Linked DNA regions of Pelodiscus sinensis. The protein of the gene in region 2 purifies or fractionates together with the protein of the main gene of each other region. This does not show direct contact. Links are inferred from orthologs where the notes say so. Each region holds a gene or a part of one and is shown on either strand. Other genes may lie near its edges. The genes, in order: PHGDH and EPN1.

Region 1 (9,532 bases), on a different chromosome or scaffold from region 2:
ATCCCCCCGCATTCCTCCGTCCCCCCCCGCAGCGTCTCCCCCCGCCCCCGCATCCCTCCACCCCCCCCCGCTTCTCCCCGCCCCCGCAGCATCCCTCCCCCCTCCCCGCCAGCATCCCCCCGCATTCCTCCGTCCCCCCCCGCAGCGTCTCCCCCCGCCCCCGCATCCCTCCACCCCCCCGCTTCTCCCCGCCCCCGCAGCATCCCTCCCCCCTCCCCGCCAGCATCCCCCCATCCCTCCGCCCCCCCAAGCGTCTCCCCCCGCATCCCTCCGCCTCCCCCCGCCAGCATCTTCCCCCCCGCATCCCTCCCCCCTCCCCGCCAGCATCCCACCTCCGCATCCCTCTGTCCCCCCCGCAGCGTCTCCCCCCGCCACCGCATCCCTCCACCCCCCCCCCCCGCTTCTCCCCGCTCCCGCATCTCTCCCCCACAGCATCTCCCCGGCATCCTTCCGTCCCCCCTGCATCTCCCCCCCCCACATCCCAGCATCACTCTCCCCATCCCTCCTGCACAACATCCTTCTGCCCCCTGCATCCCCCTGCAACACCCCTCTCCCTCTGCATCACCCCTGCAGCATCCCTCCGCCCCCCTGCATTCCCTCCCCACCTACCCCCAGCATCTGCCCCCACACCGCTTCCAGGAGAATGACTGTGGTGGCCAGTGGGGGACACAGAGATGTCTAAGGATCCGGTGTGACCTGGGGAACTCGCTGCCACAAGACGAAAGAGGCCACAAGGCGGGACGCAGCCACCAGCCGGCTCTGAGCCTGCGCTCCCACGTGCTGCCACAGACACACCAAAGCCCCAGAGCAGCCGAGCGACCTGCCACGGGCTGGGCAGGCAGAGCAGGAGAGTCCGGGCCTTCTGCTGGGCAAGGCTAGGTGGGCTCCAGCGCCATGGGCAGGGCCTGGCGGACACACGGAGAGACAGACAGATGGCGAGGCCACAAGCCAGCAGCGAGTGCAGTCGGCAGCCGTGCGGGGCCAACACAAGAACTCCCCGGGAGCCTGTGACGGGAGCGCGGGGTCATGGCCACAACCGGCAGCCAGGCAGCGACTGACCCCACTTCCCGCTGTGGCGGCGCGTCGGGGTCCCCGTCTCCTGCCCCCCGGAATGGCACGAACAGACTCCCCCAGCCAGTAGCACAGGGGGGTTTATTGCCTCTGCAGGACACAGCCCAGCACAGATGGAATCTGGTCACAGGCACTGGGGCTAAGAGGCCTCAGCCCCCCTTGAGATGGGGGGTGGCTGGGCCCTACAATCCCAGCCCCCTCCCCAGCTCCTTCTCCCCTGCTTCCCAGACCGAAACTAACCCTCTTCCAGCCCTGCCCCCAGCCCGGGCGGCATCCTCCTTCCTTTGTCCCTCTCCCTGGGGGTAGCTGGTCGGACAGGTTGAGAGACCCACTTTGCATAGTGACTCACCCCTGCCCTGCTGGGCCGTGCTACAGACAGCAGCCAGTGGGGGTCACCCACAGCCCCATCCTAGCAACCAGCAAGGTACCCCCACTACGTCACACCACCTGCGAGACTTTCTGTGCCAGACGCGCCCTGGGCAGCGCAGGGGGGTCGCCCAGCGACGGGGTTGCCCAGCGACGGGGATACCTAGCGACTGGGTCGCCCAGCGATGGGGATACCTAGCGATGGGGTCGCCCAGCAATGGGGATACCTAGCGACGGGGTCGCCCGGTGACGGGGATACCTAGCGACGGGGTCGCCCGGTGACGGGGATACCCAGCGACGGGGATACCTAGCGACTGGGTCGCCCAGCAATGGGGATACCTAGCGACGGGGTCGCCCGGTGACGGGGATACCTAGCGATGGGGTCGCCCGGTGACGGGGATACCTAGCGACGGGGTCGCCCAGCCCCATCAGCGCCCCAGGCAGCGGAGACATTCCTTCCCAGGCCAGGCCAGAGGGAAGCACGGCCTCTGGCTCAGGCAGGAGCCTGGCACGCTGCGCTGCCACTCTGCCACGGTCCAGTCCTGCCTGGGTGACCCCAGGCAAGTCACTCAGCCTGCCTGTGCCTCGGTTTCCCCTCTGCACCCCAGCGCGGCGCGGGGGAGCGATGCAGGGCAGCTGGCCAGGCTGAGCCCTGAGCTGTGACCCACACTCTGTGCCCCCTCTAGTGGCTCGACGAGGCAGTGCATCGCCACAGCACTACCGGCGGAGGGGCGGGAGGAGGTGCCCCCTTGCCCTACAGACTGGCCCAGAGGGCAGCCCCCAGCCCCCGGCACTCGCAGGGCCCTTTGCACCCAGGCTCCGCGGAGTCCTCCCTGGCAGCTGCTGCCCTGGGGAGGGGCCTTTGCGGGCTGGTCCAGGGGGCCTGGCGTCCTGCCCCTCACAGCCTGCCCGGCCCTCTGCTGGGCTTTGCTGGACTTCACTTGCCGGGGGCAGGGCAATTTTAGTCGTGCAAGGCCCAGCCTGGCTCCTTCCCCGCATTGTGGCCTGGGCCACACAGATCTCCGGCCCCCCTGGAGCAGCAGCGGGTAGTCAAGGTCCCTTCCAATGGTTTCCATTGGTGTGTGGAATAAATTTTATGTGCACCCAGGCATGTGCAGGTGTGCACCACCCATACATTCACCTGCTGCTGGCTGTGGGCACTCTGCGAATCAGCTGGGTGGGATTTGAATCTCTCTGGGTGGCTGCCCCAGTGCCCAGCTCCCGGGAACACTGGTCCCTTGGTGTGACAGCGTGGGCGCGGGGCCAGGCTGCCGGCAGGAGGCTGAGGGATCCGGAGTCCAGAGGGCACTCCCCACGGGAGCGAGGTGCTGCCAGGTGGAACCTGTTGTCCAGGGTTGCTCAAGACAGAGCCCTTGACCTGGTTTCCTGTCCGGGTCCAGCTACCCTGGACTTTCCCCCAGCTCAGACGTCAGCGCGGCCACCGGCCCGAGGCGGCTCGCTCTGCCTGGCCCTGGGGATGGGCTGTTTCCCTTTCCTCGGGGAACCGTCTCGGAGCAGCTCCCCCCCCAGCAGAAATCGGCCCCGTTTGTAATCCCCCTTACAAACTCCGAGCCCAGAGAGCCGGGGGCTGGACTCAGGGCTAGCCCGGGCCATGGCGGGGCTGTGGGGGGCCAGTGGGGGCTCTCTGTCCCTGCCTGTGCAGAAGAGCTCATTCCGGCGCCCATCACCCTGGCACGGCAGGTGAGAGGCCCTGATGGGCGCCCGTCCTTACCCCGCTTGCCACGCAGACCAGGTGGGGCTTGGGCCACGGACCCCTCCCCCAGCTCTGGCCATTGCCCGACACAAGTAGCTTAGTTTGGCTGCTCCTTCCTCCTGAGGATCGGCCCGGGGGCCCGGCAGCCTCCAAGGTCGGGGAGGGAACAACCGGACTCCTGGCGCTAGGGCCCTACCAAGTTCACAGGCCATTTGGGCCTGGACTCCTGGTGCCGTCAGCGATTCCGAGCCGACGTGCCGGTGCTGGAGCGGCGGGAGAGTCCCGGGTTATCGGAGGGGGGTGCGGCGCTGCTCCCCTTACTGCTGCGCTGCCTTCAGAGCTGGGCGGCCAGAGCAGCAGCTGCTGAGCGGGGAGCCCAGCTCTGAAGGCAGCACCGAGCCAGCAGCGGCACAGCACAGGGCGGCCTGCCATGGTGGGGCTCCCTTACTGCTGTGCCACTGCTGGGGGCGTGCGGCCTTGGTGCTGGCACCTGGCCACCAGTCGCCTCTCTCTGGCCACCCGGCCTAAGGCAGCACAGAAGTGAAGGGTGGCGACGCCACAACCCCCTAAAACAGCCTTGGGACCCCCTGCTGCAAACGTGCGGGTCAGACCCGGTTTGAGAGGGGCGGGGCTCTGTGGGATCTGCTGGGTAAAAGCGCACAAGGCCAGATTTCCCTGGCGGCGCAGTCCCGGGGGCAGCAGGTGACGAGAAACGGGCAGCGGAGTTGCCAGCCCCGAACGTTCAATCACCACGTGCCAGGCTCAAAAGGATCCCGCCTGGGGCAGAAACTCCCGAGACCCGAAAGTCAGCCTGGGGCTCTGTCTACGCGAGCCCTCTGGGCCCGGCTCCCGGCGTCTCCCTGCAGGGCCTGCGGCCGCGTGGGGAAAGCCCAGCCAAGCCCCACGGCGCGGCTCTGAGACGAGCCCCTGCCATGCTGGGAACCCTGCAGCCAGATTCCCACGCGGGACCCCGTGGCGGAGACACCGACTGGGGCGTCCCGTGGGCAGGCGGCTCGGCGGCTGAGACACGGCGCCGGGCACAGCGGGATGCGCTGTAGCTCACAGATCTGAGCGCCGGCAGCAGGCAGCGGGGCAGGCCTGGGCCTGACGTGAACACGCTGTGTAACCAGGCGCACGTGGGGTAAAGGAGCAGACGCACGTTTCGTGCTGGTCCCAGGCTCCGGTCTGGCTGTCGGGAGAGCCCGAGGGGACCTTTGGGGCGCACGAGTCTGAGCTCCGGCCTAAAAACTCTCCCCCCGCCCAGCCAGGGAAGCGCCCGGCCGTCTATCAAAGGGGCTTTGTTTTCTCCTGCACAGACCCTGGGCCCCACACGCCTGCCCTGCCCCACTGGAGGCGGACGCTGGAACTGGCCTTGGTTTTACATGGCTCCGGGGGCGGGCCAGCTTATCTGGAGGCAGCGGGTTTTCTGTGTGCAGCTCCCCCAGCCAAGAGCTGCCTTGGACTGGTCTGTTCTGGGGATTCCTCCTCACCAGCCCCACTGTGCCCGGCTCTGGGCCTCGTCCTGCGCCGGGGCCAGGAACGACCCCTCTTGGAGACAGGAGAGTGGAGAAGGGAGCCAGGACGATCCGCTTCGGCCCCCACTGAGCCTGGGAGCTGTGCCACTAGCCACAGTGTCCGGGGGCGGCAAGTCCTGATCTCAGTTACCCCTGCTCTGCTGGAGGGGCGCTGGGGCGCTGGGGGGCGACTCCAGATCGACTCCAGCGTCTCTAGGACAGGACGTGGCACCATTGGCAGACGTGTTCTGTTTTCCTGCGCCCTGGGCAAGGCCGGGCGGCCAGGGGGTGCTGCACTGCGGGGGGGGGTAGCTAGTGTGATCCCCCCCAGCGAGATTACATCAGCCCAGTCCTGGCTCCCTGCTGCTTCCCCCCGCTTTGCAGATGGGCACACTGAGGCTGGGAGCAGGCCCAGAAGCCGGGCCACCTTCCATGCAGCCTCGCCAGGGGCAGGGCACCTCTCGGGCAGACCAGGGGTAGGGGGCAGGCAGGGGGCGGACGAGTTGCAGATGGGACGGGGGGCAATGGGTGGGCGGGGGGCGGGCGAGTTGGGGGGGCAGGAGCCGGGGGGGGAAGGGGCGGGCGAGTTGCAGACGGGGGGCGGGCGACTTGGGGGGGCAGGGGGTGGGGGGGAAGGGGCGGGCGAGTTGCAGACGGGGCGGGCGGGGGGCGGGCGAGTTGGGGGGACAGGGGGCGGGGGGGAAGGGGCGGGCGAGTTGGGGGGGCAGGGGGCGGGGGGGAAGGGGCGGGCGAGTTGGGGGGGCAGGGGGCGGGGGGGCAGGGGCGGGTGAGTTGGGGGGGCAGGGGGCGGGGGGGAAGGGGCGGGCGAGTTGGGGGGGCAGGGGGCAGGGGGCAGGCGAGTTGCAGACGGGGCGGGCGGGGGCCGGGCGAGTTGGGGGGGCAGGGGGCGGGGGGGAAGGGGCGGGCGAGTTGGGGGGGCAGGGGGCGGGGGGGAAGGGGCGGGCGAGTTGGGGGGGCAGGGGGCGGGGGGGCAGGGGCGGGTGAGTTGGGGGGGCAGGGGGCGGGGGGGAAGGGGCGGGCGAGTTGGGGGGGCAGGGGGCAGGGGGCAGGCGAGTTGCAGACGGGGCGGGCGGGGGCCGGGCGAGTTGGGGGGGCAGGGGGCGGGGGGGAAGGGGCGGGCGAGTTGCAGACGGGGCGGGCTCAGGAGCCGGAGCCGGAGCCGCAGCCGCCGGAGCGGGGAACGCAGCGCAGGGAAGCGCAGGGAAGCGCCGCCCGGGCCCCGCAGACCCCGCCGCCCCCATGGCCCGCGCCGCGCTGGGCTCGGTGCTGCTGAGCGACCCCCTGGACCCCTGCTGCGCGCAGCTGTTGCGGGCCGCCGGCATCCGGGCGCGGGAGCAGCCCGGCCTGAGCCCCCCGCAGCTGCTGGCCGAGATCCAGGTGGGGCCGGGCGGGGGGGCTGCTGCGGGGGCACCGGCCCGGGCCCCTCCCCCGCCAATCCCGGCCCGCGCCCCCCCGCACCCGCCAGCCGCGCCTGATGCAAGAGGGGCGGCTGCTTGCGCGGCGCTGGCTCGGGCGGGGGGGTCCGGCCCAGCTCCCGTGACGTCGTGGCGGGGGGGGGGGTCTGTGCAGGGCGGGGGGCGGGGGCAGAGCCCCCTGGGGAGCTGGAGCCGCTGGCCCGGGCTGGGGTCTCGGTGCCCCCCGGCTCTGGGCCGGAAGGGGGGGGACAGGCTGGCTCTGACCGGGTCCCGCCCCCAGGACTGCGATGGGCTCATCGTCCGCTCAGCCACCAAGGTGACGGCCGAGGTGATCGAGGCCGGGAAGAAGCTGCAGGTGATCGGGCGGGCCGGCACCGGCGTGGACAACGTGGACGTGGAGGCGGCGACGCGGAGGGGCATCCTGGTGATGAAGTAAGGGCCTGGCGCCAGGGCAGAGCCGCCTCTCCCCGCGTGGCGGCCCGTGTCTGAGCCGGGCAGGGCTCCGGGCGCCCGCGGGGCCAAGGTCAGCTCGTGTGTGCAGGGGGTGCGCCCCGTGCAGCTCCATGGGCACATGGTACCCCCCCGCCCTCATTCCACACCCTTGGAGCTGGTCCAGAGGGATTCAGACAATGCGGGGTGGGAGGGAGGCTCGTGGCGGGCGCGGGGCTCTGGCCCACGTTCGGAGGGAAGTTCGTGGCGGGCGCGGGGCTCTGGGCCACGTTCGGAGGGAAGTTCGTGGCGGGCGCGGCGCTCTGGGCCACGTTCGGAGGGAAGTTCGTGGCGGGCGCGGCGCTCTGGGCCACGTTCGGAGGGAAGTTCGTGGCGGGCGCGGGGCTCTGGCCCACGTTCGGAGGGAAGTTCGTGGCGGGCGCGGGGCTCTGGGCCACGTTCGGAGGGAAGTTCGTGGCGGGCGCGGCGCTCTGGGCCACGTTCGGAGGGAAGTTCATGGCGGGCGCGGCGCTCTGGGCCACGTTCGGAGGGAAGTTCGTGGCGGGCGCGGGGCTCTGGCCCACGTTCGGAGGGAAGTTCGTGGCGGGCGCGGGGCTCTGGGCCACGTTCGGAGGGAAGTTCGTGGCGGGCGCGGCGCTCTGGGCCACGTTCGGAGGGAAGTTCGTGGCGGGCGCGGGGCTCTGGGCCACGTTCGGAGGGAAGTTCGTGGCGGGCGCGGGGCTCTGGGCCACGTTCGGAGGGAAGTTCGTGGCGGGCGCGGCGCTCTGGGCCACGTTCGGAGGGAAGTTCGTGGCGGGCGCGGCGCTCTGGGCCACGTTCGGAGGGAAGTTCGTGGCGGGCGCGGGGCTCTGGGCCACGTTCGGAGGGAAGTTCGTGGCGGGCGCGGGGCTCTGGGCCACGTTCGGAGGGAAGTTCGTGGCGGGCGCGGGGCTCTGGGCCACGTTCGGAGGGAAGTTCGTGGCGGGCGCGGGGCTCTGGCCCACGTTCGGAGGGAAGTTCGTGGCGGGCGCGGGGCTCTGGGCCACGTTCGGAGGGAAGTTCGTGGCGGGCGCGGGGCTCTGGGCCACGTTCGGAGGGAAGTTCGTGGCGGGCGCGGGGCTCTGGGCCACGTTCGGAGGGAAGTTCGTGGCGGGCGCGGGGCTCTGGCCCACGTTCGGAGGGAAGTTCGTGGCGGGCGCGGGGCTCTGGCCCACGTTCGGAGGGAAGTTCGTGGCGGGCGCGGGGCTCTGGGCCACGTTCGGAGGGAAGTTCGTGGCGGGCGCGGGGCTCTGGGCCACGTTCGGAGGGAAGTTCGTGGCGGGCGCGGGGCTCTGGGCCAGATTTAGCCAGCGTCTCTGGAGTTGATGGCGCTCCAGAATGCTCCAGCGAGAGCCACACAACTTTTTCTGTACTTACAGCTTTTGCTGAAAAAATGCAACTTGGGGTAAAATTCCCCACGTGGCTTCAGCTCCGAGCAGAGAGACACTTTGCAAACGTTTCTCCAGTGGCGCCGTGTCACTTTCTGCTTCCACATGGTTTCTGAACTTGGCCAGACCCGATTCAAAAGCAAAACGAGCCCCCCCCGGAAATGGAAATGAGGAATTCGCTTTTGAGTCAGACCAAATGGCTCCTTCTGGGTTGTTCACGTCAAGCCGGCCGCCCCGTTGTCCACTCAGCTCACGCTCCAGCCCCCTTTGCTGGGGGCTGCTCGGGGCAGGGACAGTGACCCCCGGTGCAGAGCCCAGGCACTGAGCTGCAGGGCGGTGGGGGCCAGATGGCTATGGGGGGAGAATCTACCCGGCGGGGGGCGGGGGGCGGGATGTACGCCGGCAGCGCAGGCGGTGTGATGGCAGCAGACAGTGCCAGCGCCGTGCCCGGCTGGGCCCGAGGCTCCGCCATGGGGTGACAGGAGAGTCGCTGGGGCCGGGCGAGCTGCCGGTTCCCAAGTGGGGGGCTGCCCAGTGCCCCGGGGCTCCCCTGCCCCCCATGCCTGTGCTAACCCCGCGCTCTGCCCACAGCACGCCCACCGGGAACAGCCTGAGCGCCGCCGAGCTCACCTGCGGGATGATCCTCTGCCTGGCCAGGTGACCCCCAGCGCTGCTCGGGGGGCTGAGTAGCCCCTCCCCTGCTGGGCTGCCCGCTGCCCCATCCCCCTGCCCTCAGCAGCCAACTCCCACCACTGCCCGGAGCCCGGCGCCAGCTCTGGCCTGCCCCAGGCATAAAGCCAAGCCCAGGCTCCCCCCACACCCGCTCGCCCTGCCAGCCTGCAGCCTCCCACCCACGCCCCGGCACAGAGCTCCAGGCATCCGGCAGCCCTGCCCCAGCCATCTGGCTCCGAGCTGCTCACCCAGCATGGAGCGGAGAGTCCCGCCCCACGGCCCCGCCCCACAGCTGACATTGCCCTTCGAGTCCCGCTGCACTGCCCTCTCCAGTCACACGGCCGCCAGCTGCCAGCACCCACTCCCAGCGCCGCATCTGTCCTCCCCCCCAGGGCACCCCATTGCTGCCCTTGCCCCTCCCCCACTCAAACAGACCCCCCCCCCCCGTGGGCATGCCCCATACCACGGGCACAGACCCCCAGCAGGCACACCCCATACCATGGACACAGGTCCCCAGTGGGCACGCCCCATATCACAGGCACAGAGCCCCCGTGGGCACACCCCATACCACGGGCACAGACCCCCCCCGTGGGCACGCCCCATACCACGGGCACAGACCCCCCCCGTGGGCATGCCCCATACCACGGGTACAGACCCCCCCCATGGGCACACCCCATACCACGGGCACAGACCCCCCCGTGGGCACGCCCCATACCACGGGCACAGACCCCCCGTGGGCACGCCCCATACCACAGGCACAGACCCCCCCGGTGGGCACGCCCCATACCACGGGCATAGACCCTTCCCCCCCGTGGGCACGCCCATACCATGCGCACAGACCCCCCCCATGGGCACGCCCCATACCACGGGCCTAGACCCTCCGTGGGCACGCCCCATACCACG
Region 2 (9,821 bases):
ACCGCCTACCCGTGCAGGTCTGTGCCAGCTTCTCCTTGGTCTTGAGGGCGTGGGCCCGTTCCTCCTTGAGCCGCTCGTCGTCCCGGAGCAGGGCCACCAGCTGCTTGGCCTTCTCCCGCACGTTGACGCCCTGGTCCTTGCCGTCCCGGTCGACGTACTGGAAATCCTTCAGCGTCTGGACGGCGTAGATGTTCTCCTTGCACTGCTGGGCCACGCGCTCCGAGCCCGTCTTGATCAGGTACTCCATGAGCGTCATGGCCTGGGGGGGGCAGGCCAGTCTCAGTCCATGGCCCCCACGGTGCCTCCGCCAGCCCGCCCAGCCCCCTGAGTGGTACAGGCGCCCCCCGCGGCCAGAGCCTCCCCGCCCAGCCCCCCGCAGGGCGCAGGCACCCCCACAGCCAGAGCCCCCACATCGCTTCCACCCAGCCCTTCCCACACAGCGCATGCACCCCCGCAGCCAGAGCCCCCACAACACTTCCACTGAGCCCCACAACACCCCTCCCCCGCAGGGCATATGCACCCCCCCCCACAGCCAGAGCCCACCTGCCCATCCACCCACAAAGCTGCTGTTTGTAGGCCACCCCTTCCCCACATAGAGAAGGCAGGCGGGGAGCAGGATCTAGTGGTTAGAGCTGGGGGGGGGCGGGGTTGCAAGCCAAGGCTTCTGGGTTGTATCCACAGCTCTGGGAGAGGGTGGAGGCTAGTGGTCAGAGCAGAGACTGGAAGGCAGGACTCCACAGCTCTGGAAAGGTAGTGAGGGCTAGCGGTTAGAGCTGGGAGGCACAGCTCTGGAAAGGTAGCGAGGGCTAGCAGTTAGAGCTGGGAGGCACAGCTCTGGAAAGGTAGCGAGGGCTAGCGGTTAGAGCTGGGAGGCACAGCTCTGGAAAGGTAGCGAGGGCTAGCGGTTAGAGCTGGGAGGCAGGACTCCACAGCTCTGGAAGGGTAGTGAGAGCTAGCGGTTAGAGCAGCGAGGCAGGACTCCTGGGTTGTCGCCCCAGTTCCGGGCGGAGGTCGAGGGGACTAGTGGTTAGGGCAGGGTGCTGGGAGGCAGGACCCCGGGGCGGCACCTTGTAGACGTGGCGCCAGTTCTTGCCGTGGTCGTTGAGCCGTTTCCAGATCATGCTCATGATCTCCGAGAAGGCCACCACGTTGTAGGTGAGGTCGGCGATCTCCGACATGAGCGAGCTGGACGGGCCCCAGGGGTCGTTGGACGTGGCCTCCCGCACCTTGATCTCTGCCTCCGAGTAGTTGTGGACGATGTTTTTCATCTGGCGCCGCAGCGAGGAGGTCGACATGGTGGGAGGGGAGGGGGGCGGCCCGGCTGCGGGGCAGCTCCTGGTCCCAGTCCTGCGAGGGGAGGGGGGGCACCCCCGTGTCCGTGCAATGGGGAGGGCCCCGGATCCCTGGCCGGGGGGCAGGAAATCCCCCTGTGTCCGTGCGATGGGGAGGGCTGGCACCAGCGGGTGCAGGGAGGGGGGTCAGGCCACTCTCTGGGCCTGGGCCGGCAGGGGCGAGCCGGTCATGACGGCCACTCACAGCCACACCTGCAACACACAGAGAGCAGGGTCAGTGACTCCATGACACAGAGCCGGCACGAGACGCAGCCAGGGGGGCAGGGTTCTCCCCCCAGCACTGGGAGGAGAGTGGGGGCTAGTGGTTAGAGCAGGAGACTCCTGGGTTCTCTCCCAGGCTCTGGGGCTCAAAAGGGGGGCTGGGAGCCAGGAGTCCGACACTCCCCCGGGGGGGACTGGCTTCCGGGGCCTCCTCTGTCCCTCCCCGGCGGGAGCGTGCGGGCAGGGAGCACTAACTCTGGGAGGGGTCGGGGGGGGTCTAGACCCAGGAGAGAACGCACCCAAGCTGGCGGGAGGCAGCAGCAGCCAGTGGTTGGAGCCCCCAGCGGCTGGACGCCAAGCGCAGCTGGAATTCAGCCTCCAGCCAAAGGCCCCGGGGAAGGAAGAGACACAGAGCTCTGGGGGCGCCGCACTGTGGGGGTGGGGGAGGGACTCGCCCCTCCCGTCACAGCCGGCCCCGCAGCCAGACGTGTGTTAGCCTGGGGCTAGGGGCGTGCAGGTGACCCGCTCCCCATGCTCTGCCCCAGAGGGGCCGCACCCCAGCACCAGGGATGGGTGCCTGGATAACCAGCACCCAGCTCTACCCCAGAGGCAGCCACATCTCCGGACCCAGGGATCGGAGCCACGGAGCAGAGCCCGGCGAGCGCCGGGGGAAGGAAGGAAAGCTCCAGGCGTCCTGGCGCCATGACTCAGAAAGGCACAAGGCCTCACTTCCTTCCCCTCTGGCTGCTGCCAGCTGGGACCCGGGAGCTGCAGGGGCTGGAGACCTCCAGGGGGTGGAATGCAGGTTCCCCCTGGCCCTCAGAGCCCATGCAGTGGTCCTGCAGTGCTCCTGGGACTCAGGGAACCCCCTCCCCTTCTTCCCATGCAGGCCACCCCCCGCTTCATGGAGAGAGGGCAGGGAGAGAACCCAGGAATCCTGGCTCCCAGCCCCTGCCCGTTCTAACCACTAGACCCCCCCACCCAAAGCTGGGAAGAGAACCCAGGAGTCCTGCCTCCCTGCTCTAAGCACTAATCTGCCTCCTACCCACTGGACCTTCCCATAACCACACGCTGGTCGGAGGGCTTGTCGCAGCTCTTCTCACACCCCCTCCACGCCCTGCCAATCCCAGGGGGTCTCATGTCAGACCCAACCCCCAGAGCCCTGGGGAGTGGGAGTCCCGCCCCTCACCCGTGAAGGGTGGACCAACAGGCTCCAGCAGGTTTGGGGCCGACTATGAAATTGACCGGGCGGCAGGGGCCTATCCCCCGCGGGGATTTTGCAACAGTTCCCTGGCTCCGGTAGCAGAAAGCCAAGAGGAGCGGCACAATGACACGGGGGAGACCCGACTGCTCAGATCAGCCCCTCGCTAGCCAGAGGCCCAGATGGGTGCCCCAGAGCTGCACCTGAGGGGACTCCCGGCTCTGCGAGCGCCAAGCACCACGCCCGGCGAGGAGGCAGATGGAAGGGAACCAGCTGGGATCCACCACGCTAGCTGGGATCCGCACAGCACCGTCCTGATCTCCCCGTCAGCTCCCTGTCCAAACCGGCCAGCTGTCCCCAGCCCCGGTAGCTCTCCAGAGAGGGGTGGGAGCAGGTGGGGATACAACAGCACAAAGGCACTTCCGGGAGCCCTCTCGGGGGACCATAAATCATCCAGGCTGTGGAGAGTTTCTCTCTCACCCCACGAGTCAGCTACCCCCCCCCCCCCCACTGTGCCATGGGCTGCCCATAAACCTGCTTGGGCTGCCGGGCAGCCAGACAGGGAGGGTCTGGACGTGACAATGAACCACGTGAGAGAGAAGGCTGAGCTGGGGGATTAGAACCACTCCCTGCGGTGGTCAAGGCCGCTGGCCAGCCAGCCAGCCTGCCTGCCTCCCCTTTTCCTCCAATTCCCTCCCCGCCTCTGGGCCAGCCCCACTCACCCCCTCCCTGCCCAGGGATCTCCCTGGGTCAGCCCCACTCCCCCCAAGCACCGTGTCCCCAGACCAATCCTTCCCTGCCTCACACACTCCTACACCAGGCCCCCAGATTAGGCACCACCAGTCGCACTCCCGTGCCCTCCCACCCCCGTGTGGGTACAAGACGGGCCTCTTCTGGATTCCCCAAACGGCCTCCCCTGTCCCCTTTGGCCACCCTGCAAAGCCGGGGCGGGCATGACAGCCTGGCCCCCCCTCCACAACACCCGGGGCCCAGATCCCCCATGCTGGGCAGCACTGGCCTTCTCTCCAGCCTCTGCAAGCTGCCCCCCAGCCCGAGCCGAAGGCACCAGCCCGATCTCCCCTGCCAGGGCAGCCCGGCCCTCCCGTGAACTCTGGACAGCGCGGGGCGCGCCGCCAGCCCGTCAAAGGGGTGATCGGCAGTTGGCACCGGCGCTGACTCAGAGGGACGAGTCCCTCTCACCTCCCACGCTCGCCGGCTCGCAGAAAGCAGAGCCCAGGGCGGCCGCCCTCGCTGGCAGCGCCCGGGGGGGGGGGAGGGTCCCCAAAGCGGCGAAGGGGGAGCGGATTTCACAGGTGGGGAAACTGAGGCAGAGAAGAGCTCCAGGCGCGCTAACCCCTAGGCCCTGCTGCCAGCGGAGCCGAGACGCGCCCCGCGCAGGACTCACCTCGCGTCCCCCGCGGGGGCCGGGACGGAAGAAGCTTCGCGGGGCACCGGGGCCGCCGCCCGGCGGGGGGGGGGGGGGGCGGACCAGCCCCCGGGGTCACCCCCCGTCCGGGTTCAGGCCCCGCGGCGCTGGCGGGGGGGGGTTCAGGGGCGGGCGGGGGGGTCTCTCGCCCACCGACCCACCCCCTCTGATCCCCCCCTATCCCCGGGCGGGGCGCGGGCCCAGGGGGGGCATGTCAGGGCCCCGCGCGGGGGGGGGCTGCCCCCTTGGCCCAGTGGGGGGGGGCTCCCCGGGCGGGGGGGCTCAGATCGGGCGGAGAAGCCGGGGGGGGGGGGGCTGAGTCCCGCCCTGAGGGGGTGTCACTTGGGGGGGGGGGTCCCCGGGCCGGTGGGGGAGGGGCGCTCTCGCCCGGCTCTAGGGGCCCCGGAGGCTCCGCTCGGCGCTAGAGCGGCCGCGGCTGCTGGACCCTCCGCACCGGAAGCGGAAGCCGCCGCCCGCCCTCACTTCCGCCCTGCTCCCCCGCCGGGCTTCCGCCCTCGCCGTGACGTCACTTCCTGCCTCTCCCATGACGCCGGGAAGCTGCGCCGCGCCCCGCCTCCCTCTGTCCTCCCCTTGGCCCCGCCCCCATGGTTGCGTGGCCCCGCCCCCCTTGACCCCTCACCTCCCGTGAGGCTTTGGCCCCGCCCCCTTGACTCCCTGCCCAATAGATTGACCTTTGACCCACCCTGCTGACCCTTTGACCTGCCCCATGACCTTTGACCTGCCCTGATGACCCCAGCCCTGCTCCCCCCCCAGGTCTGGCAGGGTGACACTGTGACCCCCCCCCCCCCCTCCCCCGCTGCCTGTTGAGCCCTTGGCCCCGTGCACTGACCCCGGCCCCGGGGGGGGGCTGCCCTGATGGGATCTGACCCGGCGGCTCCTCGCGGGGGCAGGTGGCCGCGCCGCCAGGGAGAAAACCCAGGACGGGGGTGGGGGTGGGGAGGGAAATAGGCCCCCACCCAAGACAAATATCCGGCCTCCCCTGTGCAGCTGGGACACCTACCCACAGAGAAGTCCCCTTGGCCCCACGTGTTGGCTTCCTTGACCCAGCACAAGGACTTCTCGGCCTGGCGCAGATTCATAGGAGCATCTAGTCTGACCCCCTGTCTAGCACAGGCCACAGCCCTGCCCCCCCCCCCCCCCCCCCCAGTAATTCCCAGACCCCGTCTCTTAGGAAAACATCCAGTCTGGAGTGAAACATTCCCAGGGATGGCGAATCCACTGGGACACGTGGTAAGTTGTGCCGACGGTTAATTAACGGACGCCTTCGTACCAACCTGAATTTGTCTGGCTCTAATTTCCAGCCACGGAAGCAGCTTAGACTTTTCTTTGCTAGATCGAAGAGCTTGTTATTAAACATTTATTCCCCACATAGGTACTTAGAAACTCAATTAGCTTCTCTTTGCTTAATGGACTAGATTGGGCTCCGTGAGTCTGTCACAGTACAGCAGGTTTTCTAACCCTTTCTCCTTTCTCCTGGCTCTTCTCTGACCCCTCTCCAGTTGATCAACAGCCTTCATGAATTGTGGTGAATTTATTTCTCAGCACCTCAATGTTGTGCAATGTGCTCATCTCTTTGCGGTTTCTGCAGGCTCCTCTTGCTAATTGTGTGGCACACACACACGCGCTACTCTAGCCAGCTTGTCCACAAGGAGATTGGGCCCTCTTCTCTTCAGCTGGAGGCGTCCAACCGTTATACCTTGAGGGGTTTGCAACAGGTGCCATATGAAAAGAAATTAAAAAGACTGGGACTTTTCAGCTTAGAAAAAAAAGTCTATAAAATCATGCCAGGTATGGAGAAAGTGAATAAGGAAAAAAGTTATTTACTTGTTCCCACAACATAAGAAAAGTAGGGGGTCACCAGATGAAATTAGTAGGTAGCAGGTTTAAAACAAACAAAAGGACGTTTTTTTTCACACAGTGCACAGCCAACCTGTGGAACTCCTCGCCAGAGGAGGTTGTGAAGACCAGGATTTTAACGGGTGTCAAGAAAGAACTAGATAAATTCATGGAGATTCGGTCCATCAATAGCTATTAGCTGGGGTGGGTAGGAATGGTATCCCTAGCCTCTGTTGGCCAGGGGCTGGAAATGGATGACAGGAGAGGGATTACTTGATGATTCCCTTCTGGGGCAACTGGTATTGGACACGGTCGAAAGACAGGACGCTGGGCTATGGACCTTTGCTATGACCCAGTCTGGCTATTCTTATGTTCACCCCTTCTCCCCGCGGAAGGCGGTCAAATGTTCAAATAACCCCAAACCCTCCGCCGCTAACCTAGCAAGCACTTCACCTCCAGAATCTCCAGCCTCCTGTCTTCCTTTGCTTGAGGGACGGGACTGATCTTGGAGAAGACGGCTCGGCTGTTCTGTTTCTTCCCTCACGTCCTCCGCTGCCCAGGAGGTATCCCGCTAAAGCAGCTTCCATCCAGCCATCACCAAGCCATCTCGGCCTGATGGCCTCTAGACCCAGTCAGGTGACTCTTTGACCCAGCCTGATGCCACGTTTCTCAGGTCCCTTGGCCTACTGTGATGAGCCCCAAACTGGACACGGGGACCAGTCTGACCCCATCTGGTGATCCCTTAACCCAAGGAGATGATCCATTCGATCCGTCTGCACGTCAGGTTCCTACGTGATGGCCCCCGCCCCTGCCGGCCCGAAGAGAGGGGCCAAACAGGCAGCGCAGCGAAGGACTGCACAAGCCGCCCCCCTCCCAGGCTCGCACCCACTGGTTTGCTGTTATAGGGTCTCCTGTGGCAGTGGAGGAGGGGTACTGGTTTGTTATTGTAGGGCAGGGGTGGTCAACCCGTGGTTCGTGAACCGAATGCGGCTCTCCCCACCCCCCCAAAAGTGCAACTCACACAGCCTCCCCCGTGGCTTGCAAAGCTGCCCCAGCGCCCCTCCAATCGGCCCCCTGTGCTCACCGGGGCAGGGAGCCATCCGGAGGTGATTGAAAATGGGAGCTGCAAGATGGCGGCAGCCAATGGGAGCCTGCTATGGCCCAAAAGCCCAAGCCCATGTTTTTTTAAAGGGGCAGTGTGTGGTTTTTTTTTTGCTCGACAATTCTGGTGCAGCTCTTTGCATTTCTTCCGCCGGTTTCAGCTCTCTTTATTTAATGGGTTTCCCGCCCCCCCATTGTAGGGTCTTTCCCGAGCAGTGGAATTGTTATTGTAGGGTCTCTCTGGAATCATGACACTGCAGCTCAGCCGCTGTTCTTGTAGGGTCTGTAGTCCAAAATAGCCGTAGGGCATGATGGAGGCACATCCCCATCCTATGGGACTGAGGGCCCATCTCAAGGAGCTGCATAGAGTATGGCCCATTCCCGCCAGCGCCCCAGGGTAGGGCAGGCCTTGACGGTAGACACCCTGAGACAGCTGGGCCCCAAGCCTCACCCGAAGCAGCCCCCGGCTCCATGAGCCTCTGGTCCCCTCACACTAGGGAGACCCACTTCTCAGGGGCAGAGCGGGGCTTAGGCGCTGTGGTCCAGCCTGTTGGGAACCGGGCAGAGACCCAGTGAACCCCTTTCAGGCAGGGGCCACAAAGCAACTGGAAGCCACAGCCAGCTACAGCAGCCATGGAGGGGAAAGGCTCCAGGCCCCCTTCCCCACCCTTCTGAGCCAGCCTGTCCCTGCCCTGGGGGTGGATGGGAGCTGGTGCCCCCTGTCCCCTGTAACAAAAGGGCTCTGGGGGGACACTCCAGAGAGTCTCAGCTCAGAACGAATTGCTTTGAGACAGTCCTACAGCCCACGACTGGAGCTCCCTGCGATAAAGCACCAAACAGTCGCAAAGAGCGCGTCTGTTCCCCTACCCTGGCCAGCAAGAAGTCCCACAAGCAACCCCCTCAGACCCTCCCGCTCCCCTGCATCACCGCCAGTAGCCCCCCCACCCCCACGTTCCCCAAGGGGAGGTGATGTGAACCAATCCGGACAAATTCTCCCGCTCCCAGAGGGCCAGCCTCATGCCCAGCTCAGTTTACACCTTCGATCAGACCCAAGCAATCACGTGGTTGCCAACCCCTTAGTAACTAAGCTCTAAGGCTAGGTCTACACTGGCGAGTTCTTGCGCAAGAACCCGCAGAGCGTCCACACTGCCCGCCCGCTCTTGCACAAGAAGACGTACAGTACAGTGTCGGAAGAGGGCTTCTTGCACAAGAGCTACGCTCTTGTCTAACAGGTGTCAGCTCTCTGGCGCAGGGGCTCTTGTGCAAGAAGGCAGTGTGGCTGCACGGCAGAGGTGTCTTGCGCAAGAAAGCCCTACGGCTAAAATGGCCATCAGAGCTTTCTTGCGCAAGAGAGCGTCCACGCTGCCACAGATGCTCTTGTGCAAAAGCACATGGCAGTGTGGACGTGTTCTTGCACAAGAAGCCTTGCGCAAGAACCTGCCAGTGTAGACATAGCCTAAAGGTTTATTTGTAAAAAGAAGAGAAAGGACGACAGTTACAACAGTTACATTAAATACACACGACACTTGCCAAGCTCTTGGCTCAGGCTTGTACCGGCGTTGGAATGAACCGCTGGCGTAAGCCAAATCTCAGGAAGCCACCCACAGCTTGGACGAGTCCTTCGGTCCTTTGTTTAGAACAGGGAGGGGCAACCTGGACTAGCGATGGGACCCCAAGAGAGGCCCTCCTTCATCTCAGTAGGCCGCAAGGTTGTTGCGACCAAGAGAATCTCCCAGGAGAGGGTAGTTTCGCTCACTGTGCTTGCGTGCCTAACAGTGCGGGGGGTGGAGAGAGGGGTTCTCCTTGAGCCTTGGCAGAGCTTGGATTGGTTACAGGGGGACCACTTGGCTGGCAGTCGATGTTGTGTGCGAATATCACACACGGCCAAGACACAATGGGCTTAAGTTACAGCAAGGGCGGTTGACGTTGGACAGTCGGAAAAACTTCCTGATTGTCAGGGTGGTTCAACACTGGAATAAATTGCCTGGGGGGAGAAGGGGATTGTCTAGATGGGGCTTGGCCCGGCTGTGAGGGCAGGGGTCTGGACTTGATGACCTCTAGGATTCTATAAATCTATCATCTCATTTCACGGGCCTTGGTTTGATGTGCGTGTCACTTTTGTGATCCCGGTAGGGGGGAAAAACGACATGGCTGAAACCCAGCAGAATCAGGCCACCCTGGGCACGGGCGATGGTGAATAAAATATCTGCCGGGCCCCACCCAAAACCTCAAGGGGCCACAGACTGCCTCCCCCCCCCGGCCGTCGCACTTCAGGTTGGAGCTAAGGGCTTGCAAGTTTTTAGACAAAATGGAGGGTGTCTAGGGCCTTTTTATCGTTTGCCAGGTGGAAGGAATCCCCTTGTTCTCGCTGTGGAAAATACAGTCACAAGTTGGGGTCACACGGGCAAGTGGCCGGTCAGGGCAGGACTCGGTTGTTTAGGGGTAGGCGCCATTTGCTCCCGTGCTGGTCTGATGTTTGCCGGAAAGTTCATTGGATGAGGATTGGCCCCGCCCGAGGCCCATGGTCAGGCCAGTTCTTGTGTTCAACTTGTGTGCACAAGGCCCCAGCCGGTGGCTGCCCACGGCAAACGTTTGAAATAGAATCTCAGCGCCAAAGCTCACGACTTCCCATAAAAACACGAGACCCGCGTAAGAAAGGCACAGTCGTAACTAGCGATTTGTA

Evidence for each region.
Region 1: the proteins of EPN1 (region 2) and PHGDH purify together in Homo sapiens (affinity purification with mass spectrometry; 3 studies listed by BioGRID and IntAct, with this or other methods). This does not show direct contact. The link is inferred for Pelodiscus sinensis from reciprocal best matches to the Homo sapiens genes EPN1 and PHGDH.

The regions. Positions count from the first base shown.
Region 1 is NW_027465903.1:143,449-152,980, forward strand, and holds the start of PHGDH (D-3-phosphoglycerate dehydrogenase), read left to right. Parts: upstream 1-5,813; 5' UTR 5,814-5,925; coding exon 5,926-6,063; intron 6,064-6,381; coding exon 6,382-6,533; intron 6,534-6,630; exon of another isoform or gene 6,631-6,689; coding exon of another isoform or gene 6,690-7,910; intron 7,911-8,327; coding exon of another isoform or gene 8,328-8,429; intron 8,430-8,548; coding exon 8,549-8,614; intron 8,615-9,532. Other genes in the region: uncharacterized protein LOC142824412, read right to left, coding at 6,690-7,910, 8,328-8,429. UniProt on the Homo sapiens protein: Catalyzes the reversible oxidation of 3-phospho-D-glycerate to 3-phosphonooxypyruvate, the first step of the phosphorylated L-serine biosynthesis pathway.
Region 2 is NW_027465849.1:3,114,561-3,124,381, forward strand, and holds the start of EPN1 (epsin-1), read right to left. Parts: upstream 4,665-9,821; 5' UTR 4,160-4,664; intron 1,545-4,159; 5' UTR 1,296-1,544; coding exon 1,068-1,295; intron 260-1,067; coding exon 10-259; intron 1-9. UniProt on the Homo sapiens protein: Binds to membranes enriched in phosphatidylinositol 4,5-bisphosphate (PtdIns(4,5)P2). Modifies membrane curvature and facilitates the formation of clathrin-coated invaginations. Regulates receptor-mediated endocytosis.